5 linked regions of the Rattus norvegicus genome follow. The protein of the gene in region 3 interacts with the protein of the main gene of each other region in a biochemical or structural test. Links are inferred from orthologs where the notes say so. Each region holds a gene or a part of one and is shown on either strand. Other genes may lie near its edges.

Region 1 (5,502 bases), on a different chromosome or scaffold from region 3:
AGTAAAGACACTTGCCACCAAGGCTAGCAATCAATTTGTGGACTGCCATGGTGGAAGAGAACGGACTACTACAGTTCTCTGACCTACGTGAGCACCAGCACACACGCACAGACCAAAGCAACAGCTTTAGAAGGTTCTAAACCTTCTAAAGCAGTCCCTCGTTGTCTGCTTCTTAATAACCAGTATGATTTAAATTATCATTAAGACCTCGAGTAACTTTTCTCCCCTCAAATGAGATGTATTTTACAGACCTACACATCTCAAAATCAAAAGAGGCAACAACACAGAGGTCCTGGAAAAGCCTCCAAGTGCAATACAGTCTATATGGTCTTACGCGTGAAAACACCACAAACATCTCTAATGCCTATAAAACTGAAAACCACATATGAGTTACTCAAAAGGATTAGAGAAGAGAAATAAGCCATTAAAGAAATGCAATTCATAGTTCAATTCAGTCTTCCAGTAGAGAAGACTGAAGACACTCCTGAAGCACCCACTTCACCCTTTCACACGCACTTGACCCATGTGACAGTCTGTCACTACACTGGTTCTACTCTGCAAAGTTAGAGACTCCACAGTTCTAACAACTTCCAGGTATTGTCAATGCTGCTGACCCTTGGCCATCCTCCAAATGGCAGGAACTCTGTGTGTGTGTGTGTGTGTGTGTGTGTGTGTGTGTGTACACACATGTACAACATGACTTTTTTATGGTAAACTCCCCAAATATAAATAAATTGTTAAAATACTCCTGTAACTCATTTATTTACACAGAATAATAGAATGTACTATTACTTTTCAAATTTAACAAGAGTGCACCAGGCCTAGTGAACAAGTATTTAAATAATGGTAGCCCAGCCCACCTCCTACTTGCCAACTCAAAGAAACTTATTTTAGATAATACTATCCAAATAAAGTAAACCGGACAAATTAAGAAATAATAAATGAAGGGGTAGAGAGATGACTCGGTGGGTAGAGCCCTTGCTGTCCCAGCATGAGTACTGGATTTTGTCTGGTGGGCATTGTGGACTGCCTGCAAACCTCGTGTTCAGAATGCAGAGACAGGGCAAGAACTCGCTGAGTCAGCAAACTCCAGCGCAGCAAGAAAGCTGCCTCGTCAACAACATAGAGATAAGATACAGAGTCAAGCTGTGTCTTCTACATGCACCATATGATGCACACCACCGTTCACACAAGCACATACAAGCACAACGGGCTCATATGCCACAAACACATGCCCACATAAAATAAAAATTAAAAAAAATTAAATTACCATATGGTTACTCTTGATTTTTCTTAGTTTAAAAAGTGATATATAGGTAAAGTTAATGAAACAAAAGAAAGAACAGAGGCTTCTTGATTTTTGGTGTTTTTTGGCTAACGGCGTGTAAGTAATGATAGAAAAGAACAGATTTAAACACTGTACCACAACTAAGAGATTGCTAAAGCTAAAGAGAGTTAGATTTAGAATGCATGGATAATTGTACTGTGTTCATGTCTGAGTTGTATTTAGAATACACTGACAAGTCCTTGTGTTCTGTTACAGACATTAGTTACCAGGTTAAAGACAAGGCAAGGTATTACCTTCCGTAGCAATCCTGCTGCCTTCGGCTCCAAGCCTGCAGTGGACATGGCATACAGACGCTCCGGGACACTTACCTTCCGACAGTGGCTGTAAATGTAGTCTTCCACATCCACACTAACTGCACTTGTGCACTCATCCAGAATGGCAAACTGGGGTTTATGATAAAACAATCTTGCCATCTAAAGCACAGAAGGAAACAGTCTGTGTGAACAGAGGTCGGCCTAAGATAAAACTAGCAAAAGGATAAGCTCACTTCAGTAAGTACACTTTTGGAGTCTTACAGAGCTAAAACATGAAAGCTATTCCTAACTAAAAAGTGTCACCCCAGAGATAGAAATAATATAAATAAAATGAATCATTTTTACTGTCATCTTAAACAAAAGGAGAAATGTAATGTGTGAGAAATAAGCATTGCTAAGAAAAACCAAAAACTGGTGTGAGCTGGAACTGAGTTTTAAGATGAACTCAACAGACAAACCAGCTTGTGTTTTAGCCAAAACTTAGAAGTCAGACTGCAGATGGCTCAGACGCACAGAATCCCCCGACTGTTGCTTAAGTAAAGGCATCTGTCGGTGTTCCACCAATCCGACAGTGCACCTGCCGGGCCTGTCCTGCTGGTCTGAAGTGTGCTGTTTCTGAAACCTGCTGATCTTAGAAATGAACTTGGGAGTGCTAGTGCTTACATTTCCTTCATTAGCAGGATGTGGAAAATTTTCCTCACTTATATTCCAAATGTATTGTATTTCCTGGAAATGTTCCGTCAATGTCCACAAAGGAGATCTTCATGTTGCAAACCATCAGACACCTTCCTAACCCTAATCCATCTTCTGAGCACCATTCTCCTCAAGGCACTCCTCCCTGAGGAACAAGTAAGGGTGCCCACTGGAGGCCCTCCCCTGCTGCCCTGCTTCCTCTCTGGTACCTTCCCACCTGGCATTCAGTGTGCACACTTGGGGGGGCCTCAGAACTAAATCCCAGATCCTTCTCTCTCTCTCTCTCTCTCTCTCTCTCTCTCTCTCTCTCTCTCTCTCTCTCTCTCCTCTCTCCCCCCCCTCACCTAGTCTCACCTAGGAGCTGAATCTTTCTGACCCCTTTCCTTCCCTCCCTCTCATCCCCCCTTTTCAGTCTCGTGGAGTCTCGAGTGCGCACACTCTCCGTCTCTGCCACGACGTCTCTGTACTCATTCTTTGCCTGCATGACAACCACCCGCCCTCTCTGCTGTCCACTCTTCTCCATGTAGCCAGAGCATCTACTATACATGTAACGCAAAGAACCCCACCTGACTTAAAGTTTCTCCACAGCGTCTCCCTCCTCATCTCCATGGTCCATCCCCTTCCTCCTGCCATGCTCTGATCTTAGCTCCAGCCAGCTCTGCCTCTTCCCATCAAGCACTAGGAGTAAGATGCCCCAGGCCTTAGAGGCTGTCTGTCATGTCACTCTTCCCTTTCTCTTTTTCCCGTCTCTTCTCACTGTTGTGCTGTTTCTGTCTGTTTGATAGAGGCTTTCACTCTGATTAGCCCAGGCTGGCTCAAACCCATGGCAATCCTCCTGCCTCTAACTCCAGAATGCTTGAACCATGCCTGTGCTTTCACAACAGCTTATTCTTTCTCAAGTCCCAGTATCTGGCTCTGGTCTAGATATCTTCCAAGCGTCTGCGTAAGTCACTCTCTCAGTCCACGTGGGCCCTTATGGGACTGCTGCATATGGCAAACCTGAGCTCATCTTTCTCTGTGTGGCTGCCTAAAATGTAAAGTTCACTGAAGCAGAAACCATGGTTAAACTACTACAATATACCGGACACGTCACACAGCTGTTCCATTCACGTATAGATAGCAAGTGGGTAACTAGAACAAATGGCTTTTCTGAGGGTCACACCTATGTGCGTGAACTGAAGAAGAGGAAGCATCAGACATTACCACAGACAGTGCATTGACAGTACTTCCCGTGCCTCTGTGCTCCATGAACCTATTCTCACCGTGTGTGTGTGTGTGTGTGTGTGTGTGTGTGTGTGTGTGTGTGTCCCCTTCTCTCCCCATGCTGTCAGCTACTTGACTCCACAAAACAAGCAAGCTGTAAAGCAAGTATTTAAACCAATATTCTGTCTGAACTGCTGTTGATAAGCAATCTTTCACCAATTCTAAGAGCAACTGTCTGCTGGGCGAGCCCCAAACTATTGAAGTATAGCTTCCTTGGTGACTGGGATATTCACATTAGTTATTTCATAGGACTGTTTTAAAAGATATAATATGTTAGCCTTTGTAGTCTTCTTGGCATATTGACTATCATCTACTAAGCCCTCAAACATTAGCTGTTACTGACCTGAACCACAGCTCTTATTCAAATATAAAACGAGTTCTGCTGAGCAGTAAAGACGTAAGGCAGAAACTGAATGGGGGGTGGGGGGGAGCCTGGGAAGATGGCTCGGTGGGTAAAGTGCCTGTTGTGCAGGCACAAAGACCTGAGTCCAAATCCCCAAAACCCACACAAAAACACAGTCGGGCATGGTGGCATCAACTCTAATCCAGTGCTGGAAGGCAGAAAAGAAGGATCTTGTGGGCGTGCTGGACAGCCAGCCTAGCCAACCTATAATCTCCAGATTCAACGACAGACCCTGTCTCAAGAAGTAAATCCACAAGACATCTAATGTAGACCTCTGTAGTCACCAACAGCCGAGATGCCATGTGGGTAGTAGGTGTTAAACCCAGGAACTCTGGAAGAGCAAACAGTGCTCTTTAATACTGCGCCATCCCTAGCCTACTTTCTTGACTACTAATTGATGGAGGAAGGCCCAGCTCCCCGGGCAGTGCCATCTCTGAGCAAGCAGCCCTGTGCTGAATAGGAATGGTACGTGAACATGAGCCTGGAGCAAGGCAGTCCACAGCACTCCTTCATGGTTTCCACTCAAGTCTTACTTCCTTGAGTTCCTGCCCTAACTTCACCAGGTGATGAACTGTAACACAAAAGCTAAAAGAGACTTTCTCCTTCAAATTGGCTTTGGCCATAGTGTTTATCACTGAGACTGGTCTTGCTACAGTGGACCCCACCATGTTGTTGTTTGTTAGGACAGTGGGAGCATTTAGAACTTGGAGCTGGGCTGTTCTGTGGGAGCTTAGAGAACAACAAATAAGGAGAGGATGGAATACGGGAGAGGAAAACCGCTATCTATCTTCAAGATAACTTTGTTATTATAAAATTTAAAGTGTTTCCAATTCTTCTTTGTACTAGGAAAGTTTTAAAAAGTTCTAAGTAACTTCGGGAGTAGGTTAGTGACAGAAGAAACAAAGTTACAAGTAACTGACCGTGGAGGGAGGAACAAGGACAAAGAGAAGGATGAAGAAATGGTGTTTCTAATGCTTTCCGCTGTTCAGGGACAGCAGCCTGCAGGAGCTAACAGGCCGTCTTTAGGGGAAAGACTTACCGGGCTCCTCACAGGCCCACTGTCTAGAAAGCAGCCTAACTTTACACCTAATACTCTATAGTTTTCCCTCTCACAGGACAGCAGCATTCCTAACTAACACAGTTTTCAGAATATCACATTTGTGTGAAGTGAAACATGTTCTAGCACTTTTATTATAATTTAAAATAACACACACTATAATATTTGCTGAGTACAAGATAAAGCCCTGTCTGAATTAGTCGAATTCTGGACTCTGATAGCGACTTTAGTGAACATTTGGTCCCAGTTTCAGAGGGCACTGACCGCCATTCTTTGTTTTTCTCCTCCGCTGAGTACATCCATCCAGTCCTGAACACTGTCCCAGCCTCCTTCCCGCTCAAGGATATGGCCCAACTGTACATTGTCCAAGTACCCCTTCAGCACCTGTATGCAAAGACGGAAAGGTTTATTAGAAGCTAACGTCCTGCCCCATCTCACCTTACTTTTTTAGACAGCTCAGTAACTCCATAGCCAACCACTCGGA
Region 2 (6,147 bases), on a different chromosome or scaffold from region 3:
AAGCTCATACTGCCTGGAAGTAGCGAGGAGTGTAGAAATGTGGACCACATAGACTGGGATGTTAAGAGAACCACATTTTTTAGTTAGTTTTGAGGTATTGTGGATAGAACCCAGGGCCTTGGGCATTCTAGGCCTTGAGTGTGCTAGGTGAGCTATATTCCAGCCCTAGAGAACCAGACTTCTGGTTGTTTTTTTTGTTTGTTTGTTTTTGTGTTTGTTTTGTTTTTTGGAGAGAAGATCTGTCTCACTGTATAGCCCTGGCTGGTCTGGAATTCTTTATGTAGACCAGGGTCAACCTCAAATTTGTGGCAATTTTCCTGTCTCTGCTTCTCAAGTGCTGGGATTAAAGGTGTGCACCGCCATGCTTGGCTTTTATAGTGTTTTGAGACAGCCTTGCTCTGTAGCTCAGAAACTCACTATGTAGCCCAAGCTGGCCTTGAACTCACAATCAACCTCCTGCCTCAACCTAATAACCAGATTTTTACAAATGAAGATGACTTGAGATTTACTTTGTTCTTTTAAGCAGAAGGTTTGTATACATGTCTGTACACATGCATGTGCACTGCCTGAAACTCTAGTAAGAATATTATACCCTGCTGTTTGCATGCCAGCCAGCCAGTTAGTCCCTTTTTCATAAATTTTTGACTAGAATCCAGGCCCATGTCCACAGTACAGCAACCAGTGGGACTGGAGTGGGACATGTGCCTATACAACAAGGGCAGTCAATCCACTCATGGTGGCCCATCACCCTATACAGCTTTACAGATGAGGCTTAGACAAGCAGGCCAAGGGTTTACACAAGGTCTCTGGGTCCCAGCAAGTGACCTCTATTGTTTAATGTGCTATTTCCTGAAGCTAGCCCAGAGGAAGTCTTTTTAAATACCAGTGTTCTCTCTTTTGTGCTCTCTGCCTAGAAGTGCTCATATAGCCCAGCTTTCCAAAACCTAGCCTCTCATTCCTGAAGTGAGTGCACCACCTTTGCAGCACCCTGGTAATCTAGGCTCATGCCTCAAGCTGGTAGCAGCACCAGCTAAGGTTGATGGCATAGCTACAGGTATTGTGCCAAGTGCCTCACCCAAGGCCCTGGCAGCTTGCCAAAGCCCTGCAGCCCAGCATTCAGAAGAGAATGGGAGAGGGGTTATAGTAAGGGTGATGCACTTTTCCTCCTAATCTGAAACCTGACCTGGGCCAGCAAAAATTCTCTTAGCAGAATGTAGAGACAAATCCTTTCCAAAAGTCAAGGACAAAACTGATTGTCTATATGAAATGCAGCCAATGGGACAAGGTCCTGTGGCAAGTGGCCTGATCCAGGAAACACACAGGCCTTCATGAAATGGGTGCTTTTGTATCCCTCCCCTGCCCCAAGCACTGGGGAACCGAAACCAGTAGCCAGAACAAGGCCTGAGGCAGCTGCAACCATTGGCACAAAGAAGGGGAGGGGCTGCCAGAGAATAAAGTTTACACTGGCCTAAAGTATCCTTTCCCAGTGTCTGCCAGGCTTCCCTGGCTCCAGCCCACCTCATAAAGTGGCTGGGATCTGGGTAGAAGGGTGGCTACACTGGGGGTGGGGGTGGGGAGGTAGGAGAGGAAGGTTGTCAGGCCTCTTTGGCAGACGCTGGGGTCAGGCATCCCTATCCCTGGGAGGGAGGGAGGCAACTAGGCAGGTTGCTTGCCAATCCTGTCAGTCACTAACCAGACATGCCTGGGGTTCTGACAGCCTTGACCCGGAGCAGCAACACTGCTGCTGCAGCCGCTGTGCTGAGCTCTGCTTGTTAACCTCTGCTTGGGCTGAGTCATGCCCATAATACCGGACAGCCCAGCCAGCCAACTCTGTTGGACGCCAGCCTTCAAAGGGCCCAGAGAGGCGAGAGAGGTTAGGAGGCAGGCTGTGGTCCTATGCTCCCAGATGATAGGAGTCTAATTCCTCCCAGTTGGCTGTAGGAATGGTTGACTGCAAGATTGGAGCAAGCTGGACCAGAGCATCACAAATTGTGATGTAGTAGATAGAATCCAAAGCTCAAGTCCAAGACAATTTTACCAAGGAAGCAGAAGTGGCTTGGAGGTTGCAGGCAGCCAGCACAGGGAAGTTCCCACCCAATGGTGCCATTTCTCCATTTCTGCATCTTAAGAATACAGCCATCCAATGCCTACTACCCCCAAGCTTGTCCCACTGCCTATTCACAACTTTAACATTAGCTGGAGTAGGCTTTGGGCTTTCCTTACTGCTCATAGCTGGCTGCAATAGGTCTCCCAGCCACTTCCTCTGCTATGTAAGCAGCATCTCAACCTGCCCCACCTCATGGCCCCCGTAGAAGGCAATTTCCTCTGAGTTGGCCACCACTCGAGAGTGCATGTAGCGCAGTTCCCCCTTTCGCCGTGCCTCCTCTGCCACTAGCTCCCCAAACTTGGGAGAGAAGGCTCGAAGCACGTTGGCTGTGAGGAACACCACCAGGCCAGCGATGGCTGAGGGCCAGGCTGTACCAGCTCCTCGGGATCGGGCAGCTCGAAGAAGAGTGTAGGAGGTCACAGCCACATCCAGGAGTGGCTTGGTCAGGTTGGAATAAAGGTGGGCTACAGAAGCAGCAAAGGCTACCATATCCTCTGTCAGAGACTGGTCAGGGTTTCGAAGCCGTCCATCCATGTTGCTTACTCGGTAGTAAGTCTGCTGGGAGAAGTAGAGGCCATAGGCATGAGCTACTAGACGGCTTCGGAAAGAAAGAGCCAGCTGGCCCTCTAGGTAGCGGATGGCACTGTTGATGAAAGTGGCAGGAAGGGCGATGAGGAGCCACTGCAGCAGTTGCCAGCTAAAGGCCCTTGGGTCCTTACGTACAATGCAGCGGGCCAGTCTGCCGTCCAGGCGGGCAACATACACAGACAGGAAAGTTCGGCTTACCAGGGCAGCAGAATGCAGGGCCAGTAGCCCTGTTTCCCGGCACAAGACTCCGGGGAACAGCAGCCTCAGGAGCACCAGGAGCCGCTGCAGGAATACCCGGTTCATGCCAGCCTTGGCTGTGGTGGCCCCAGAGGCCTCTTGCGTGGACTCCCCAGCTGGCACCTGAGGACCTCTGGCAGGAGTCAGACACTGCCGTACTAGAGGGTAGATTTTGTGGACTCCATAGGCTGTGAGGGCCAGGACCACAGCTGTGCGCTTAAGCGTGGTCACCCGCGAGGGCCGGGAGGGAGTGGAGAGTACCGGCATGTCACCTGGACTGGTGAGCAGGCTGAGGGCTGGAACTGCTGCCCGAGGCTACAGTTGCGGGCAGATCCTGGAAGGGCTGTTTCTCTGACCCAGGGCTCGTTGTCTAGGCAACTGGAAACCTTGAAGTGGTCCCTGAGACTGTTGCTTTAGGCCCTCGGGGTGGTGCTGGGGCCCCTGGATCGGTTGGGTTAGAATCCTCCAGGGTCGTGGCCTCTTCAGGCAGCCCGGGTGGAGGAAACTGGCTTCCCTCCACAGATTGTCCCTTAGCCCCTGAGGTCAGAGCCTCGAGAGGTCTTAAACAGAGAGGTTGTCTCTTCCCTTCCACCTCCCTCTTCTTTACTGCTCCTCCCCCCCCCCCGTGACGCCCCTCCCCGGGGCACTAGGCGTGTTTGTCCGCTCTGCAGCCGGGCAGTAACCACAGCGTCTACACCAAGGCCCTGAATCCCCACCCACCTACCCCTCCCCAGGGGTGCTGGTTGGGGGAGAGGAGGCAGAGTTGAGGCAAGAGGCGGAGTCCGGGCTAGGGGCGCCCCACCCCGTTCTCGCCCTACCGCTGGGTCCCTCCCCCTCTCTGACTACAGAGACGAAGCATGTCCGCGTAGGCTAGAGAAGCGGCCTTAGCCTTCCCGCCAAGTCTCCTCCAAGCTCCACCCCTGCATGTCCGAAGTGTCGGAGGCGAGGCATTCAGCTGCCAACCTCTACTTCCTTTCAAGACCTTGGTAACTAGCCGCGCCTAAGGGCGGGGCGGGAAACGACAATGGGCGGAGTCGTTAGGGGCCTCAGGACGATTTTGGGCGGGGCCCGACGCACGTTTCCGGTTTCCGGCCGTGGGCTAGGGGGCGGATCTGAGCTTTGGTGAGAGTTTGGTAGTTGCAGTGGGGCGTGCGCGTAGGCTGAAACTCGGTAAGCTGCGTCCGCGTGCATGGCTGACTTTAGGACCACCGAGGTTCTCCTGAGTCCCCTCATGAGGGAGGAAAGCGAGCATCCCACAAAGACTGGGTTCTGGGAAGTGTAGGGATCCGGGCCTTGTAAGTTTAGGACGGGATCAGGCAGAGGGATGTTGTGGAGGCAGGTGGAGCCGGACTCTAGGGGGCGCGAGGGGGGTGCAGTGGAGAAGTCCCACCCGGAAGAGCTGCCCAGGTAGGGCCAGCTCCTCGAAGGCCATCTGGAGCGATGGACTTAGGCGTTGTGGCTTACTAGGATGCAGGGAGGTCTCTTGGCTTCGGGAGAGACTTTTCTGGTTCTGGAACTTTCTCCGAGTAAGGCCTTGACGTGCTCTGTGGAAACCTGTATTTGCTTTTGGCCTGGATTCTCGCCCTCTAGGAGTCGCTCTTGTGGGCCTTTTGAGAGTATGTATGTGAAGGCCTTACACCCTGTGAATTCGTGGAAGCATTCTGAAGGCCTGTTTAATTCTCAAAAAGCAGCTTTAGGAGGAGGAGGCTGGAGGCTGCTAGGTTTATCTGCCCCTCATAAGCGTTGGAGGAAATGGGCCTCCTTTCTTGTACAGAGGCTTAAGCGGTGGCGTTTGCAGAAGATACATGTATGAACACTGCAGTCCCAGTCACACTGTAGCAGCGACCGAAAGACATGTAGCTCCTGCAGCAGAGGCTTCTAGACTTGGAAGGAAGCCTGATGGGTGCTGAGAAGGCCCTCCTTTTTATGTACTGTTCTTATGTGAAACATTTTCTTAGTTATACAAGACTAGCCTTGGAGGGGAGCCTGGTGGGTGCTGAGAAGGTCCTCCTATTCTTACGAGAAACATTTTCTTAAGTTAAACAGGTCTAAGTCTCTTGGACTCACCAGGGAAAGGAATTATCAACAAAAGTACCTAGTCATAGTGACACACTTGCTGGAGGGTCAAAAGTAACTGTCCAGGGAAGTTTGTTGCCTGGTTAGCATCATTGGTCAAGTATCTGCTGTTGGGTTAAGCCCTGTTTCAACCAGGGTTTTAAAAGCTCTGAAGCAGAGTCCTGTGGTCTGTTGTGAAGAGTGGCAACCCTAGCCTTTCCAAGGCCCCTGAACTAGATGTCCTTGACTTCTCAGCTCTCATGGTTCCTCCTGTTTCTTCTGTGCCCTGTCAGGAAACAAGCTCCTATCCATCTGTTGGAAACCTTTAAGTCACAGGATGAGTCTGCAGTGGACTGCAGTTGCCACCTTCCTCTACGCAGAGGTCTTTGCTGTGTTGCTTCTCTGCATTCCCTTCATTTCTCCCAAAAGGTATGGCTATTGGAGCAACAAAGCAAGCATATGAGGAAGGTGCTATCAAACCCTGAACCTTGTAGTTTCTGTGTGCAGAATTGGTGGACCCTGAAATTGAGGCTACATGGAAACAAGTAAAACCTGTCTTGGGTAAAGGTGGCAGGAGTATGATTTTTTTTATCACCAATCCTGAACACTGTTTTGCTTTGTCACCTCTTCAGTTGCATTCTTGTGCACACTGTCTTCTGGTCTTTGCAAAGAAAGATATATCTTCAATTTTTTGAGTAATATTCTCTTGCCTATTCTTGGGCCTCAGGGCTGTGGGGAATAGTTGTGTGGAAACTAGAATACTTGCACCATTGGCTTACATTGTTGCTGATTTGCTGACTTTTGACCTCCTAACCAGCTCCTACTGGCATTGCTTAGTAGGCTCATGAGCATTTATCAGCCTATGAAGGATGAAGCCATATTCCCTTTTAATAAAAAACAGGATTTTCTAAGTTATTTAGATATTAATTTTTAAATCATTTATAGTACATCAATACTATTTCTATTTAAATTAGGGTGTTATAAAATCACCATAGTTAATAATACCTAAGGAATAGTCTTGCCAAAACCCACATTGACATTTAATTCACAGAAAGCAGAGACCAAAACCCTGATGGAACTATTTTAGTCTTGGATGCTCTGTAGGACCAACTAACTTTGTTCTACCACTTACGAGGTGAGGGCAGGATTAGGAGTTCAAG
Region 3 (6,025 bases):
GAAATTTCCCCTTTTAGCTGAGACATTCCCAGTGTGGATAGATGATCAGATCACCAATGTAGCTTAATTCTCTCAGTAACAACTGCGAGAGTGTTTTTAAAAATTGTACTTGCCCACTCAAATTGCCTTTACTATGCATAGTCTGAGCCAAGTGGCCCAGACTATTGATATATTGAAGTGAGGAGAAAAGACAGAAATGGGAATTCACAGACCTTTTCGGTGATCTCCTTCAGGGATGGATACAATACATCCTTAGACAAGAGGTTCTGCATGAGGCTCTGCATGATGGGGAGAATGTTCCCTTCCCCGTCTCCTTCATCCATGCCCAGCCCTTCCATGGCTTTTGTCAGTTCTTCTTCAGACATGCCTGCGTTCTAGACAAGACAAAAGAGAGGTGAACAGGCACACTGCCTTCCTGAAATGCTTACCACACTTTCAGGTGGAAACAACTATCGAAATTTGCCTGTAACAAAAATCAAAGGGGGCCAGATTTGGGGAGATATGCCAGAGCTTTTAGAAGTAGACTTTTTGGGGTTGGGGATTTGGCTCAGTGGCAGAGCGCTTGCCTAGGAAGCGCAAGGCCCCGGGTTCGGTCCCCAGCTCCGAAAAAAAGAACCAAAAAAAAAAAAGAAGTAGACTTTTTTTTTCTTTCTTTCTTTTCTTTTCTTCGGAGCTGGGGACCGAACCCAGGGCCTTGTGCTTGCTAGGCAAGCGCTCTACCACTGAGCTAAATCCCCAACCCTTAGACTTTTTTTTTTAAGTTTAATCTTATTTATGTTTTTTTTTTTTTTTCCGACTGCATGTACATCTCTGTGAAGGTGTCAGAAGCCTTGGAACTGTAGTTATAGGTAAGTGTGAGCTGGCATGTGTGTGCTGGGAATTGAACCCCAATCTTGTGGAAGAACAGCCTGTGCTCCTAACCACTGAGCCATCGCTCCAGCACCGCCCACCTCAAGAGCATCTATTTTGAGAGAATGCTCAGGAAACATCTTATTCCTTTCCCTTTACCTGAAGGTCAGTGGCATTTTTGGCTAGCCCACTTAATGTCTCCTTTAGGCAAGAAGTAAATTCTTGTTGAGAACTTGCATCGCTGCCTAGGAGAGATGGAAAGAACGAGGATTACCTAGGATTTTAACTGTCAGCTTGTCTACACTGCCTAGTTACCAGTCTGGATATAAAGCATTTCCTAGGAAACTACTACCTCTTCCAAATCTCCACTGTTCTGTACTTACCTCACGGTCATGCCGTAAGTCTATATTGATAACGTGTTGGTTGTTCGCTACAGTAACACTCCTTTACAAGGGTTGGTTTGGGAGAATCATATTTATTTTTGAGGTAGCGTCTCACTCTGCAGTTCTAGCTGTTCTAAAATGCACCATGTCGATCATGGTGGCCTCAAACTCACAAGATTCACCTCCCTCTGCTTCTCAAGTGCTGGGATTGAATGAATACGCCACTACGCCTGACTGGAATAACCTTTTTTTATTGCTTCCCAAAACATCTTACCCTTTTCTTTTAGTAAGCAAGCTTCCCATGTCTCTTCCTCTTGCCTTGCCCCACTCTGTGACTGTGACATCGTGACTGTTATCAACTTTACAATCCTGCTATTCTTAAGCGATTAAGAGGTCTGTCCAGCATTTTGTGTTTGGGGCTTCCTCACCCACTCTCCCAGCTGCCTCTGAGAGCTTCTGGAACTGCTCCACCAGATGGGGCTCTTCCTCAGCCAGCTCCTTCATTGCCTTCTCAAACTCTGCGGTGGCTTGGGAAGCCAGCTCACTGTCGAACAGTTCCTGGAAAAATTTCTCTTGGGAGGCAAAGAGAGCATCCTGCAGGGGAGAGGTTTACAAAATTTGCCTCCTACAGCATCACCCTGGGTCTAGCCTCTTACAGGAGCTCAGATTGTAGGTTTTGGGAAATGAAACATCTTCCCCCACAAGCACCTCCACTGAACATTCCATCTGCCTCTTTTCAGGAGGACAGCAAGCAAAGACTTTGGCCATTGAAGGAATAATCTGAGGCAGCACACAAATCCAACCACTTAAAACTGCTCTTTACTCGAGGCACTTCCTCGTTATCCCTGTTTCATAGGAACTGAGGCCTGGAAGTACACTCAGCAGTATGAGGCAAAGGTACCCTCCCAGCCACCCCTCTGGCCCACAGGGGCCTGCCCCACCCCTGCTCTGAACTGCATACCCATCCTCCCCCTCCCTTAAGGGGATAGAATTTATACTTTGGCAGTGTCTCCTGGCGATCTCTTCTGGGGCCCTGAAGCATCGGGGGCCGAGATGGTAGGAGAGGGTGCTGGGGAGGGTTTGGCTTTATCAAAATCATCAAGAGCACCTTCGGAGACAAGAGACATGGTGGGTATGTTGGGGATGGATAAGGCTAGAGAGCTGTGTGATTTGAAGCAAACTACTAGGAAAATGATATAAAGTGACCACTCTCCTGAACTTCTCTCTCTCTCTTCCTGCTCTCCTGTCTGGACCACTCGTCAATAGGCTTCCCCCCTTCCTTGGGAAACATCTAGTTTACTGTGACCAATTGGGAAGAAAACCCTTTTACACAGAACCAGTGTTCACCTCAGAACTAGGAGGAAAGAATTAAATAAAAGCTGGGCAGAGAAATCTTTAAAAGGGCAAATTGTAAAATTCCCTTAAGGGTTGGGGATTTAGCTCAGTGGTAGAGCGTTTGCCTAGCAAGCACAAGGCCCTGGGTTCGGTCCCCAGCTCCGAAAAAAAAAAATTCCCTTAAAAGTTCGACACATTTCGTCTAACTTGAAGAGGGGAGAGCCTTGTTTCTTTTTTTTTTTTTTTTTTTTTGGTTCTTTTTTTTTCGGAGCTGGGGACCGAACCCAGGGCCTTGCGCTTCCTAGGTAAGCGCTCTACCACTGAGCTAAATCCCTAGCCCCGAGAGCCTTGTTTCTTTGAATTCACTGAGGCCTTAGCTAATTAACTTCTTGTAAGAAAGCACAGAATATACCACCCAGCTTTCCACAGGTCTAACTACTAGTATGCATTCTACAGGAAGGTATTAACTCTTAAGTTATGTTCCAATTAGTTCTCAGTAGGCACCTATAGCCTCCTTGGCCTCATATGCAGTATCCATGGGCCAATCCAGTCACTGAGCACTCCTCTTGCTATATCTGTTCATTTTCTACTTGTCTACATCGTTGTGACTGAGCAAGAGATAAAAGGTTCACCTCTGCCCTGAAAAGCCTGTGTTGTAACCAACACTCTGCTTGCCAGGACTAGGGAAAGGGCACTGGCTTCACTCGGGCAGAAAACCGGAGTGGAGTGCAAGGCCAAGACAGAAACGAAGGTCCACCATCTTTTGAGGAAGAAGAAACCGTTTCCTCTGGGACTGGCTCACTTTGTTTTTCCAAAGGATAAAAAAGGATGCCAGGCATTCTGAGGAAGGGACCGGAAAAAATCACAAGTTCAAGGCTAGCCTGCAGTCCTTAGTGTGAGGTCAGCCTAAATAGACTACACAAGACAGGCTCTCAAAATCACACTACTTGCAAGAAAGAACTAAGGGTCTGATAAAAGCCTGAGGGAAAAAAAGACTGTGAGGTAAAAAGGCGTTTCGGGTTAAGAAAGATTCTACCACGTACATATAGAGCTTAAAGGTTATTTTGTTCTGAGAATCCTGCTACTGAAAGGGGAGGTGATTTCAATAATTTACTGAAGCCGATCATGGTGAGTCCAGCCTGTGATCTCGGTACTCCCAGAGGCAGAGGCAGAAGATTGTCGCGAGTTACAGATCAGCCTGGGATATCGAGAACCTTGCCTCAACAACAATCCGACAGTCTAAAGCAAGAGAAGTTTGTAAGGGGGTCGTGAAACAGCTCATTACGGTTAGTTTTCCCCTTCGCAGGGAGATGTACGGTTTGGATAGATCATTGACTAAGGTGAACACCCAGATTCAGCTAATAAAGAGGGCCGGGGTCGAACTCAGACCACCTCCCCCGCCAACCATTGAAGAGATTCTCCCGCCCCGCCCAAAAATCTCAAGTTCACTTAACCCCCATGATGGGTCCTCTCCCCCGATACTTCTGGACTTTCCCATTTTGGGCTCTTACTTTCCAAAAGCTCCTCCAATTCCCGGTCCGCTTCGACCCCAGCACCGCAACCTCCTTCAGCAGCCGCCATCTTGCTGCCTCCGACTTGCCGTAGGAGGTGGAACCACTGGCGCCACCACATGCCCCACCCTCAATCCCGCCCCCATGACTTGAGCAGCCAATAATATCGTTCGACCTGCCGGACCGCCATTTTTAAAGGGACAAGAGACTGGATTTGTTTTTGTTTTTGTCTTTTTCTTGTGCTGGGACTCCAACCTAGGACGTACTAAGCAAGCACTCCATCACTGGAGCTACACGGCCTTGAACTAGATAAATTGCTCAAGCTGGTCCAGAAATCGGGGTCTCCCGTCTCCACTTCCCAAATACTTGACCCACCAAGCCCAGCTGGATTGAGGGGACGGGCAGAAGGGGTGGGAGGGATTTATTGTGTGGTGTTTGTCTCTTTAATCTGGAATCTTTAATCTGGAGAGGTTTTGTTTTCAGGCAGGGTTTTCCAATCCTACTGTCTCCACTTCCCAAAGACAGAGATTACAGCACACGGCTTAGCTAAAATATGAAATCATTAAACGAGCAATTTTTAGATTGAGACAGGATTGCCAGATTGAGGCAATCTTGGTTTCATCCCCAGAGCACACATGATAGGAGAGATTTCTACCATGTACTGGACTCTGACCTCTGCAGTATGCTCCTTGACATACACACAAAACAGATAAACAAAGATTACCGAATTTATTTTTAGCGTGTAGTGAGCATCGTTGTATACAAGCATGCTGAGCACAGTGAAACCTACAAATGAATCAGAGTTGGTCCTACCTGTAAGGGTTGACTAGAAATAGAATTGGAAACACAGATGTTAATTAAGCAGACTAAAAACAAACATGATTCTTTCTTTGAATTATTTCTCTTTTCCTTTTGTGTGTGTGAGCTTGTTTTGTTTTTATTTTATCGAGACGGTTCCCTGTGTAGTTTTGGCTTTCCTGGAACTCACTGTGTAGACCAGGGTAGCCTTGAACTAAAAAATACCTCTGCCTCTGCCTCAAGGGTGGTGGTATTAAATGGGCATGCCACCATACCTGGCTCTTTTTTCTATTCTGTATTTCTAGCATCCTACTTCAATGCTTACTTTCTCCCCTCAGCCCCCATGGATCTTTCTGCCTTCCTAATATAGAGTGGGTACTGATATTATTTTATAACATCCTCCTCCACTTTTTTGCTTACTTCAACTGGGGGCTCACTTAGCCCAGGCTGGCTTAGAATCACTCATTCATCCTGTTGCCTATACCTCCCAAACAGCAGGATCACAGATATGCACCACCAGGCCTTATCCTGCTCATGAAACTTTTCCATACAAGTCCTAAGGACTTAATGGCTCTCCACCACATATTGATTAATCTCAGATTCTTGATTGATATTTACAATTATTACACATACATCCATTCTTTCCCCCAGTTAGATAAACTTCAAGAAGCAGAGATTGTCAACTTTGTTTACAAAACTCCCATTAGAGTGTTTTATACAATTGAAATTTAATTTGTAAACTTATAAAAAGACCATTTTTTGAAACAAGGTCCCACTACATAGCACTGGTTGGCCTAGAACTCAGAGATCTGACTGTCGATATTTAAAAGTATTTCTAATTATTTAAAATTGTACATGCATGCACACATTATGCTTTCAGGGCAAGAGGTGGCAAAGCCCTTTGGGGTAAGAGTATAAGTCGTTGGTAGCTACCAGACGTGGGTGCTGGGAACTGCACTTGAGTCTTCTGTAAGAGCAGTATTTACTCTAAACAGCTAAACCATCTCTCTAACCACCAAGATAGCCACTTCTTAATGTCTTTTTATAAAGATTTATTTATGTATAAGAGTACACTGTCGCTGTCTTCAGACACACCAGAAGAGGGCATCGGATCTCATTATAGATGGTTGTGAGCTGCCAAGTAGTTGT
Region 4 (5,502 bases), on a different chromosome or scaffold from region 3:
TGTCTGTTCTTATAAGTAGTTGTTATCACTCAATTTTTGAAGACTTCACGTCAACTAACTCAGAACTTTAAAAAGCATTAGTGATCCCTTCTGAGGCAACTTGTGTGTTCTATTGTTCATCAAATTTATTGATCCAATAAGCCTGGGGACTGAGATAAGATGGAGCCGACAACTATCTCCACAATCTTAAAAGCTAAGTGAAACAAATGTCCTCATGGTCCAAGAGACAATCAAGTGTAGCCAGATCACTTGACCAGCAACTAGCGTGTGACTACATAACTTCTAGCAGCAGAACGCCCGGGACAGCCATGAGCAAATGCTTTCATTCAACCGCAAATTAATTCCTCTGTAAGAAATAATTTTAAAAATACTCTAAAATATTGTTCACCTGCCCGCAAACATGAAACACATCAAAGGTCTTGTTTGTCTCCATTTTTCCCTGTAGAATCAGGTGTACCGGCAACCTTATTAGTTTCAACAAAAACAGATTCAAAGGCAGCTTCCTGTTCCTCCAAAGAATTGGTGGTAGTGACTCCTTTAACTGATGTTGGGTTGGTAAAAGACTGTTGCTGCTTGGGCATTGTACTCGATTCTACTGTTTTTCTGCCTCTTCTTTTACCAAGAATTTTGACATAATTTGCAGGTATAAGTCCTGTTGTTTGACCGTCAAGACTAGCCAGAAGCCAGCCACGCACTTTGGGTTGTTGTTCTGAAGAAAGAGAGAGACAGTTTTTAAGTACACTCTGGAATAAAAAAAAAAAAAAATATATATATATATATATATATATATATATGTGTGTGTGTGTGTGTGTGTGTATTTATTTATTTATATATTACGATAATGTATGCTAAACAAAGTCAGAAACTTGTAGTGAGACAGGTAAATGAGTAGGATGTGCACACACACTCAAAAGCAAACATTAGCGCACCTAACCGGTCTAGATCCATTTTTCTTTTAAAATAAAGAGATGGAATCTCAGTCACCTAAGTGCTTTAGCCTCCTAGGTAGTAGGGACAATAGATAGTGTCACGCTTCAATCCCATTCTTAAATTTACAGTTTAGTAAAGTAATAAAATATAATAAATAGAAAAAATAAAGTATTGTAAGTATACGTTATATAGCATACTAAATAGTCCTATGAAAAGCATTGTATACTGTATAGGGATTAACAAGAATTTTGAATTTAGAAGAGACTATACAGGGAAGTCTTCTAATACTATGTATGAGGCATTTTCTCTGACTTTACTGTGTCTGACACAGGGTCTCATGTACAAAATAATAAAGGGGATGAGTTGAGAAGAGCAAGGGGTCAGTAGGGTTGGGAGGGGACAAGAGGATAACGGGGACAGTGGAGGTTAACACTTGTGATCCTGGGCTATACAGTGTGAGACCCTGTCTCAATCTCTTCCTTGAAAAGAAAAAAAAAGGAGGAAAGAAAAGAAAAAGAAAGAAAAAAAAAATCAACCAATCAACCAAACAAACATACAAAAAAACAACCAAAAAAAAAAAAAAAAAAAAAACAGACAAAAGCAAAACTCTGGTAACCATCTGTAAGGTGCTTTGTTTCAGTTTCAAATAATACCTTTACAATTATTAAAAACTAAAGATAATTACAACTTGTTACCTTTGAGGGCTAGATTTAGCATATCACCAGCACGGAAAGAAATTTCTTCATCAGACACAGCGGCAAAGTCGTATTCTGCTCTAGCAACTACATGGTCGTCCTCACCGTTTGCCCAGTTGGTGCTGTCTACAGACGAAATCAATGGTAGGTTAAAAAGTTAGCAAAATGCAGATGTTCACTGGCTGTGGCTTGTAAGCGGCACAAATCCAGCTGCCAAGTGGACGGGCCTCCCTTCCTAAGTAGCTCCTCACAAGGATCACTGTGAAGGGCAGGCAGGCTTAGTGTTGTACGAACGAACTACCACACTATCACATTCCTTACAAACTCTTCCCCTTTCTTACCCTCTCACTTTCAGTCAGGGGCTGACAATTCTTTCCTCCCTTTCTTCATAGAGGGTGAGTAGTGTACATTTTATATATTGAAGTCCACTAGGAAAAGTTTCTTAGATAGTATATAATTATTTATAAAACATGAAAAAGAAATTTCATGGGTTTTTTTTTAGGCAAAATTCAAAATAGCAGGGTTTTTTGTTTGTTTGCTTATTTTAAGTGGTAGTACATGTTTACTCAGAAGAAAAGAATACTCAGGGGAAGGATATTTCATTTATTTTGGGTTCAATGGCAAACACTCATTTCTGTATTTCATTTGTGAAATGCTAATTGGCAGTAAGATTTGAGGTGCAATTCTCGGGTATCCAGGTTTGATTAAGCACACCCATTACTTGGGAGAGTGACAGACTAGGATATAATTCTGTTCACATTTCTCAACTATGCTGTGTACCATGTTATCACACTGCTGACTAATCATTTCCCAATGATACATCAGTGGGAGCTTGTCAGTTACAGTTAGAGTCTGAAATGTTGTTTCCTTTGCAACTAGAAGTCCAAAAACTGCTTCTGGGACTCAGTTTGAACTTGGAAACCTGTATGGGAGTGGAAATCTCACTGATTTTTAACATTTTTTAAAAAAGACTTATTTATTTGTTTTATGTGAATACACTATAGCTGTCTTCAGACACACTAGAAGAGAGCATTAGATCCCATTACAGATGGTTGTGAGCCACTATGTGGTTGCTGAGAATAGAACTCAGGATCTTTGGAAGAGCAGTCAGTGCTCTTTAACCTTTGAGTCATCTCTCCAGCCCGATTTAAACATTTTTATTAGGATATATTAATTATACATAGTGATGGATTTCATTATGACATTTTCATAAATGGGTACAATGCACTTGGAGATATTTAGCCCATCCTCTCGTCCCTTCTCTCTCCTGTTAACCCCTTGTTCTTTCCAAGTAATCTGTCACACGAGACCCTGTCAGATATTAAAACAAAAAGACAAACACAGCATCCCCAACTTCTATTAAGAAAGTCCTGGGGGGTTGGGGATTTAGCTCAGTGGTAGAGCGCTTGCCTAGCAAGCGCAAGGCCCTGGGTTCAGTCCCCAGCTCCGGAAAAAAAGAAAAGAAAAGGAAAAAAAAAAAAAAAAAAAAAGAAAATCCTGGAGGGGAAGTCGGTTTGTAACTGCTGCCCCATCTCTGTGGCCCCACTTGACATGACAACAGTGCTGCATCACCGGGCAGCTGGAAAGCCTCAGGAACTGCCCATAGTCTCTGTGGCTGAACAGAACCTGAACAACCATTAACTTAGAAAATGTTTCTCAAAGATTTATAAATTTTGTTCAACTAAACCCTTTTAGACTTCACATATTTTGACTACTCTTGCAGTACTGCTTAGTAGATTCCACTTCAGGCTATAATAAATCAGTGTTTCCAGTTTTAAAATTAGTCATATTGTATAGCTATTCACAGTGGCAAACTACATCATTACCTCAGATTTACCACGGCCGCCTCAAGCAACTGTGAAGTGTCAGGATCTAGTGGGTTATCACGAGCCAGAGAAAGCCACTCAAATAACTCGCCCCCTTTTCTTCTTCTGTGAGGTGAGGTCTGACACCAGTCCTTGCACATGCTAAGCACATGCTAAGCACATGCTCTGATAACATACAGCCAGCACCCTTCACTTATCTTCAGGTGGCAATGCCATTCTGAATGTTAAGAAACCAATCTCATTGACAGGCTAACAGCCTTAAAGAGACTTACTGTTTGCAGATAAATTTCTTTGGCTGTTGTAATAATTATCAATTAAGATTTCCTTCACTGGCTAGCAAATTAAACTTTGGTTTTAGCTTCTATTTCCTTTACTTTTGTGGGTAGAGTAGGAAATTTTTAGTTTTTAAGTGTTGATTTCTGTGACTACTGTTCAGTCTGGCAGCTGTAATAATTTAACACAACTATTGTGTCATTGCAGAGTGAACAAGTACTTTACCAAAATTCATTGTACTGTGTCTTTAAAGGATAACCCCTCCTTTTCAGATCTAGTGTGCTACATACAACCTCTTTATGAAACGTAGTATGTGACTGTGGTGGTCTGAATATGCTGGGCCCATAGGCAGTGCTAACATTAGGAGGTGTGGCCTTGTTGGAGCAAGCGTGTCACTGTAGGGGTGGGCTCTGGACCTCTCTACCCACTGCAGAAGAGACCTTCTTCCTAGCAGCCTGAGTATGAGTCTTCTGGTGGCCTTCAGATGGAGATGTAGAACTCTCAGCTTCTCCCACACCATGCCTGTCTGGATGCCGCCATACTTCCCACCAAGATGATAATGGTCTGAGCCTCTGAAAGTATTAAGTCTGCCCCAATTAAATGTTGTCCTTTTTAAGAGTTGTCTTGGTCACGGTGTCTCTTCACAGCAATGAAATCCTAACTAAGACAGTGACTTTGCTCATGAACAGAGCACTAGCTTAGCATGCTTAAAGTCTATATTTAATTCCCAGCTGCACCACCAAAAAATACTGTCTTAGAGTTTCTGCTGCTGTGAAGAGACACCATGACCACAGCAGCTTTTATAAGGGAAAGCATTTAACTGGGGCTGGCTTACAGTTCATTTCAATGCATTATCCTCACGGTGGGGAGCAGGGCAGCCTGCAGGCAGACACAGTAGCTCAGAAGTCTACATCCACATCCAAAGGCAGCAGGAAGAGAGAGCTGCGGGGACTGGCTTGGGCTTTTGACATACTTCCTTCAACAAGGACATGGCTTCTACTCTTTTCAAATACTGCCACTCCCTGTGACTAAGTATTGAAATCTATGAGCCTATGGGGCGGGCATTCACATTCAAGCCACTACAACACTATAACAATACACGTGGGGGTTGGGGATTTAGCTCAGTGGTAGAGCGCTTGCCTAGGAAGCGCAAGGCCCTGGGTTCGGTCCCCAGCTCCGGGAAAAAAAGAAACAAACAAACAAACAAACAAACAAACAAAACAAAAAAGGGGTTGGGGATTTAGCTCAGAGGTAGAGCGCTTGCCTAGTGAGCGCAAGGCCCTGGGTTAGGTCCCCAGCTCCGGAAAAAAAAAAAACCAAAAAACAAAAAAACAAAAAAACAAAACAAAACAAAACAAAACAATACACATGGCACTCTGTCTGCTGCCAAACTGGAACTGAGTTTGAGATTTGTAGAGTGCAGCTCAGCCAGTAGTGTGAATCCATTAATCCACATAAGGTCTTTGCACAAGCTACTCTGCTGTTTCAATACAAAATCAGCCACGGCAATGTGTAAGTATGGCTATGTTTCAATAAAACTTTATAAACATCTGAATTTCCTATAATCTTCACATCAAAAACCTGAATTTAAAAAAAAAAAGTGTTCACGTAAACGAGCATGTGTGTATAGGTCAGAGGTTGATACTATTTTCTTCTCTGTCTACTGTGTTTTTGACACAGTTTCTTATTGGGCTTGGCGACCAGAATAGGATAGAACTGGATAGGCAGGCTGGGATTAGATCCAGGTATCTAGCTGTCTCTTGGCCATGCTAGTTCTC
Region 5 (5,502 bases), on a different chromosome or scaffold from region 3:
ATATTTAAATAGCCTCTGTGTTAGTGTTACAGTTGTAGGGGCAGGGATAAGTAGTGGGACCCTAAGGAAATGAGACACTTAATCTCAGGGAAACGGTGTTAGCCTTGTATTCGCAGACAGCACACATGGCTGCATGAACTGTCTGCTTTTAAATCTTGAACCAATAAATAGCATTAGTGATAGTGCCATATTGTTTTTCATTATTCTGGGTTTCTAAATGTTTACCATGTCTTGAAATATATCACTTCTCGATTCCTTTCTCTCTTGTAGGAAATAGGGGAACAGAGTAATTCTAAACTGTGGGGCTTGGTTACATCAGATATAGCTTATGCCTACTAGGCCAAAGATATTGATATTCGATTGTAAAGCTATTTTTATCAGACAGATTTTCTAAATCGATTAAAAACAGGTAGATATTAAGCTGACTTCACGTGTTTCTTCTATGACTTACTAGTGTGAATTATCTTTATAATTGAGTTCGCCCATCCTGCTGTATCATTCTTCCAGTTAAACTAGAAGTAATGAGGTAGCCTTTGCAACTTCAAGCGTTCTTTGGTTACAGGGACAGTCATTGACGTGGATCATGGAATCCTTTGTGAAAATGTTCCCATAATCACGCCGGCGGGAGAAGTGGTGGCTTCCAGTCTGAACTTCAAAGTAAGATGGTGTCCAAGAATCTTCTATTGTTGGCCTCACACTAATAGAAAACAACTCAGAATTCATGTTCCTTATGTTAAGTGCTTGGAGAGGAGCGTGTGGAAAGGGGAGGATCCGAAAGGTATGCACAGTGTCTCAGTTGCAGACGCAGTAACTTCCTCAGAAAGCAGAGTGAAAAGAGAAGCGCGAGCTCTGCCGCGTTGGTGCCAGATTGAAAATCAAATTACAGAACACTGAGGGGACTTGCGACATAGCTCTGGGCAAACAAGAGGAAATCGCGGAAATTAGTATCTGGGAATGAATTTTAACTTTGTATACAGGTTGTCAGGAAATATGTTAAGAGGATACTTTTACATGCCCTCTGAAATACTGTCATTCCCCAGAGGTCCATTATCAAATTTAGTTTTACTAATCCAGGTTTCCTGACTTTCATTTTGACTTTAAATGATCAGAAGATTCATGGACTCAACTCTAGTTTTTGATCCTGTTGAAAATAATTTATTTAATATCCTGCATCTTAATTGCAAAAAAAAAAAAAAAAAAAAAAGAGTGCCAAAAAACATTTTGTAAACTCGAGGACCTGGTTTTAAGGCTTTGTGAGACATAAACATACACATTACACTTCGTATAAAATGGCTGACTGGCTGTACTAGTTGCTTACGTATCCATACACATGCAAGTGTCCCGTCGGCTCCTGCTTTCAGGGGATTTATTTGGGGTTGAGCTATCTCGAGGCTTTCGGAGTGAGGCACAGCTGAACACCAGGCAGGAACATGTTGAAAGGAAGGTCCTTACTGCAAGCTGGGTGGAGAACAGAGAAAGAGAATTTGTGTCAGGCGGAGGTATGGCCCAAGGACACATTCCTACTAACCTCCTTCCTCCACATGGGACTCATGCCCGAGGCTTTCCACCACCCTTCAGAATGTGCCAGAAATTGGAGACTTAGTGATCAACACGTGATCCTACGGAAGACATTTCAGATTTAAACTATAGGAACTATGATAAAGACATTTGAGCTGTTTGATCAAAGGCATGACCAGTCCCCCATTCAAATTATGAGCATCACAATACTAATGATTTTGGAGTAGATCCTAGCCTAGGCTCAGTTATTCGAGATATATTTGCAGTTGTACAGGTTTACTGGAAGTTGAAAAGAGAGGCCAAGATGTGTTGAACACAGGGAAATCCTGTTAATAAATTGAAGAGGAATTGTTTGGCCGGGATTTATTATTCAATTATAAACCCGTAGAGTGGTTTTATTATTAGGATATGACATGTGCACCAATTAGCTACTTATTGCAAATATGTAACATTTTATTTTTCTCTTAGTAGTTCAGCAGTTTAGCTAGCTAAGTGGATGAAGTACTTGCCTAGCCCACAAAGCTCGAGTTCAGTGCTCACCCTGAAAAAAAGGAATGAAACTGGTTCTGTTACTGTTTGGGTCCATTTAGGTAACATAATACTAGTTCTCATTGCTTTAGTTTTTAAATAAAAAGATGACAAAGCTTTCCAAGTTGATGTCTTCTAACCGTGTCTCTGTAAAACCATCATACACTGAGGAAAAACTCAGAGCTAAGTCTCTTGTATGAAATAAGCAATAATCCACCGGGAGAGTCTTATGGATTTTTAACGTACTCTGAAGATAGACATTGTTGTAACATGCTGTTTATAGGTTGTTACTTTTCTCTTCAGAACGTGTAGTTTAATTCTAATCTCCCTGGAATAGGATAAAAAAGTTGCATTTCTTCAGTATTGGTTGGGAAATATACGCTTTTTAAGGAAAATTACATTTATCCCTTTGTTGGTCTTCAAAATTAAAGTTATGACTTAACGGGGTGGGGAAAATCCGAAGTGTGAGATTTTCTTTTCCTCGCACTGTCTTAACATAATTTAACTGAGAAGTTATGTTAAGAAAATATAATCATAATTTACTGAGAAGTTATGTTAGGAAAATATTAACATGAAAAAAGTCCTCGGTTATCAGTTTAAAAGTGTTAAATTTCTAAGAACTCCTGACGGGAATTGATAGTTTAAAACATTTTAGGAATGCGCTGCTCACCATGGCATGTACCTTCCAAAACTCTTTTTGGATGGTGCTCAGGTATCTAGCAAGTGAATCACCCATCATCAAGAAGTCTAGTGGAAGAGAAGAACCAAGACAGAGCTCCTTCTTGGTAGCTTCTCCCAGAATGTTCTGGAACACTAGCAATCCACCTTTGCCTTTCACTCTTGGTGTCTTCCTTTTTTTTTTTTTTTTTTTTGAAACTTGGATATTTGTATCCATTCAATGAAAATACACATGCATAGACATCCTCCATTCCATGAAAAGGTGCATGCATAGACATCCTGTGGATTTCTATCTCTCTTCCCCTCATCTTCATTTTTGCATCCCTGATTAGAAAGCAAATCAAATTTGTAAGCTGCGTCCTGCTCCTTGCGCATGTGGTCCCCTGCACATGTCTGATAGGAAGGCAACCTCTCCACCCTATCAAACTGAATGCAAGTCAAGAAGTCTAACTATTTAAACTTAATAGATAACAAAGGCAAGTGATAGACGGGAGTTTCGGTTTAGTGATTAATAAGTAAACTTGTTTTATGGAATGAATAATATATGGATATGATCTCCATTTACAGAGAGAAGGTGATTATTATATGTATATATGTTCTTCCTAAATATCCTTAAGGGATAGGTTCCACGACACCCAAATCTGATAACATTCAACCGTTCAGTTTTATACAGGAAAAGAGTCTGTATATATTTGATACAGATGCAGCCTTTCTTTTCTTCAAGTAATTACAATCCCCAGTTGGCTGACTCCTCAGAAGGGCAGTTCTGACTATACGGAGACTTGACTATATGTGTTTAAACCCAACCCTAGGCATATGCTACACTACAGTTCCCTTGCTTTCCTCTGTCTTGGCTTCATAAACATATTTTTTACATCTATAAATGCACCAGACTTAGACTAATATTATCTTTCTTTTATGTGCTTTTGTGATCTTTCAGCATTCCATACACTAATATAAAAAATTAAGAACCCACCTGGCTCCTGGGATAAATGTGCTTTTAGTATATTCAACTTTCAGTTGCATTGGATTTTATATTAGTTTAATTAGATAGTAATATAAGTAAAATAAAATCTAATTTTAACTTAAACCCTATGATTTGATTTTCTCTCATGTGTAGTTAACTTCTCTATCTGTGTGCAGATTCAAAATATCTCAGTTGAAGTGTCGGAGAGCCAGTGTTCTTTCCAAAAAGAGTCAATATTTTTGCAATTAATTATTTTATGGTACTTTTAGCTCCATAGAATAGCCGAAGTTAAACTCGAAGTTGCAATCCTGATATATTTTATTTGCTGTCTTCACTATCCAAGATTATCATATGGGTTGGATACTTTAAAAAAAAACATTTTTAAATGCTCCCAGATGAAATAATTATTGAACATTGCAGCTTATGATTCTATTTCTGACTTCAGGTAGAAGAAGGGATGCATCTTTTGATAACCGGCCCCAATGGTTGTGGGAAAAGCTCTCTGTTCAGAATCTTAAGTGGGCTCTGGCCTGTGTATGAAGGAGTCCTTTATAAACCACCTCCCCAACATATGTTCTATATTCCACAGAGGTAAGACTTTTTTTTGTATCAAATAGAAACAGTTGCTTTTGTGATTAAGTTGCGCTCATCTCTCAGGCCCTTTAGGTTACGCTCATTTAAGGTATTTTCACGTAGAGAAACTGTTGGGGAAATAAGGTGAGGCTCAGTTACTCCCTGAGTTCTGTCTTACTGCCTTGACGGTAATTGACCCTGGATCCATGCCACTTCCTGTAGTTTTCAGATCTGACAGCATGTTAAGAGTGTTCAAAGACTTCAGATGTCTTAGGAAAGAGTAAATGGCTCCAAAGAATAATTCGATGTCATGTTGCCTTCTTACAAAAATATAGGGCTCCGGTCCTATTCAGGCCTTTCTATCACGTTTTATACTTTAGCGTCCTGAGGTTGTCCATTCATGCTGCAGGGCCTTCTTCAGGTCTTTACTGTGTCTATGCTAGATAATAAATCTTAACTACCTTGACTGACATTGCATTAAGACTAAGACAAGCATAGAAAATCACATTGTTTTTCCCCAAATCGTTGGCCATCTTCCCTCATAACCACACAGAAGCATCTGAACACAAGGTTATATACTTGAGAATTAGAGTACTCGTTGTGGCGAGAGAAAGTCAACTGTAAATGAAAAATCAGCTCCCTTGGTCCAGAGATTTCTCCAAGTGTCGGCCAGGTTCAATAGACACTCCGTGTATTCTCTCTGGGTTATCTTGTGTGTCGCCCGGGTTAAGCAGACAGTCACGGTGTTCCCTCGGGATCAGAGGACTGCTCTGAGGTGTGCCACCATGCATCCAGGATGGGGATGTAAGGCTGGAGCACAAGGACGTGTCACACCGATGCCACGCAACATCGGACACTTCAGTCCTCTCTTTGCTGGTACACGGTGCGACCATTCTTCAGTTGGCCTGAGTTTTAGGCCATAAGCAGCAACTGGGCTCTGCGAACTTGTTTTCTTTCAAATGAGACTCACGGTGGAGGCAGCAGGATGCTGTCTGGTGTGCAGGAAGATATTGTTAGCACCTGTGTTTAACACAGCTAGAATGCCACACGGCGCCAGGAGCATCGTTTCCTTTCTGTCCTTTCGGAAACCTTGGTTCGGTTTATGTTTTACGAGTGAATGTAGCATATAGCTTTCCTTCAGCTTTGTACTTAAGCAATAAATATAGAACCATGAGGAAAAATGGTCTATAAGAAACATATTCTTGGGGTTGGGGATTTAGCTCAGTGGTAGAGCACTT

Evidence for each region.
Region 1: the proteins of Pex19 (region 3) and Abcd3 form a complex in vitro, tested with the Homo sapiens proteins (4 studies listed by BioGRID and IntAct, with this or other methods). The link is inferred for Rattus norvegicus from reciprocal best matches to the Homo sapiens genes PEX19 and ABCD3.
Region 2: the proteins of Pex19 (region 3) and Abcd1 form a complex in vitro, tested with the Homo sapiens proteins (3 studies listed by BioGRID and IntAct, with this or other methods). The link is inferred for Rattus norvegicus from reciprocal best matches to the Homo sapiens genes PEX19 and ABCD1.
Region 4: the proteins of Pex19 (region 3) and Pex13 form a complex in vitro, tested with the Homo sapiens proteins (2 studies listed by BioGRID and IntAct, with this or other methods). The link is inferred for Rattus norvegicus from reciprocal best matches to the Homo sapiens genes PEX19 and PEX13.
Region 5: the proteins of Pex19 (region 3) and Abcd2 form a complex in vitro, tested with the Homo sapiens proteins (3 studies listed by BioGRID and IntAct, with this or other methods). The link is inferred for Rattus norvegicus from reciprocal best matches to the Homo sapiens genes PEX19 and ABCD2.

The regions. Positions count from the first base shown.
Region 1 is NC_086020.1:212,541,156-212,546,657, forward strand, and holds part of Abcd3 (ATP-binding cassette sub-family D member 3), read right to left. Parts: intron 5,403-5,502; coding exon 5,283-5,402; intron 1,762-5,282; coding exon 1,657-1,761; intron 1-1,656. UniProt on the Homo sapiens protein: Broad substrate specificity ATP-dependent transporter of the ATP-binding cassette (ABC) family that catalyzes the transport of long-chain fatty acids (LCFA)-CoA, dicarboxylic acids-CoA, long-branched-chain fatty acids-CoA and bile acids from the cytosol to the peroxisome lumen for beta-oxydation.
Region 2 is NC_086039.1:156,577,283-156,583,429, reverse strand, and holds the start of Abcd1 (ATP-binding cassette sub-family D member 1), read right to left. Parts: upstream 3,634-6,147; 5' UTR 3,200-3,633; coding exon 2,297-3,199; intron 1-2,296. Other genes in the region: Bcap31 (B-cell receptor-associated protein 31), read left to right, coding at 5,325-5,416. UniProt on the Homo sapiens protein: ATP-dependent transporter of the ATP-binding cassette (ABC) family involved in the transport of very long chain fatty acid (VLCFA)-CoA from the cytosol to the peroxisome lumen.
Region 3 is NC_086031.1:87,122,847-87,128,871, reverse strand, and holds the start of Pex19 (peroxisomal biogenesis factor 19), read right to left. Parts: upstream 4,149-6,025; coding exon 4,079-4,148; intron 2,341-4,078; coding exon 2,231-2,340; intron 1,827-2,230; coding exon 1,661-1,826; intron 1,095-1,660; coding exon 1,009-1,094; intron 375-1,008; coding exon 213-374; intron 1-212. UniProt on the Homo sapiens protein: Necessary for early peroxisomal biogenesis. Acts both as a cytosolic chaperone and as an import receptor for peroxisomal membrane proteins (PMPs).
Region 4 is NC_086032.1:101,804,733-101,810,234, forward strand, and holds part of Pex13 (peroxisomal membrane protein PEX13), read right to left. Parts: intron 1,752-5,502; coding exon 1,626-1,751; intron 710-1,625; coding exon 411-709; 3' UTR 1-410. UniProt on the Homo sapiens protein: Component of the PEX13-PEX14 docking complex, a translocon channel that specifically mediates the import of peroxisomal cargo proteins bound to PEX5 receptor.
Region 5 is NC_086025.1:124,173,041-124,178,542, reverse strand, and holds part of Abcd2 (ATP-binding cassette sub-family D member 2), read left to right. Parts: intron 1-562; coding exon 563-657; intron 658-1,132; exon of another isoform or gene 1,133-1,458; intron 1,459-4,136; coding exon 4,137-4,282; intron 4,283-5,502.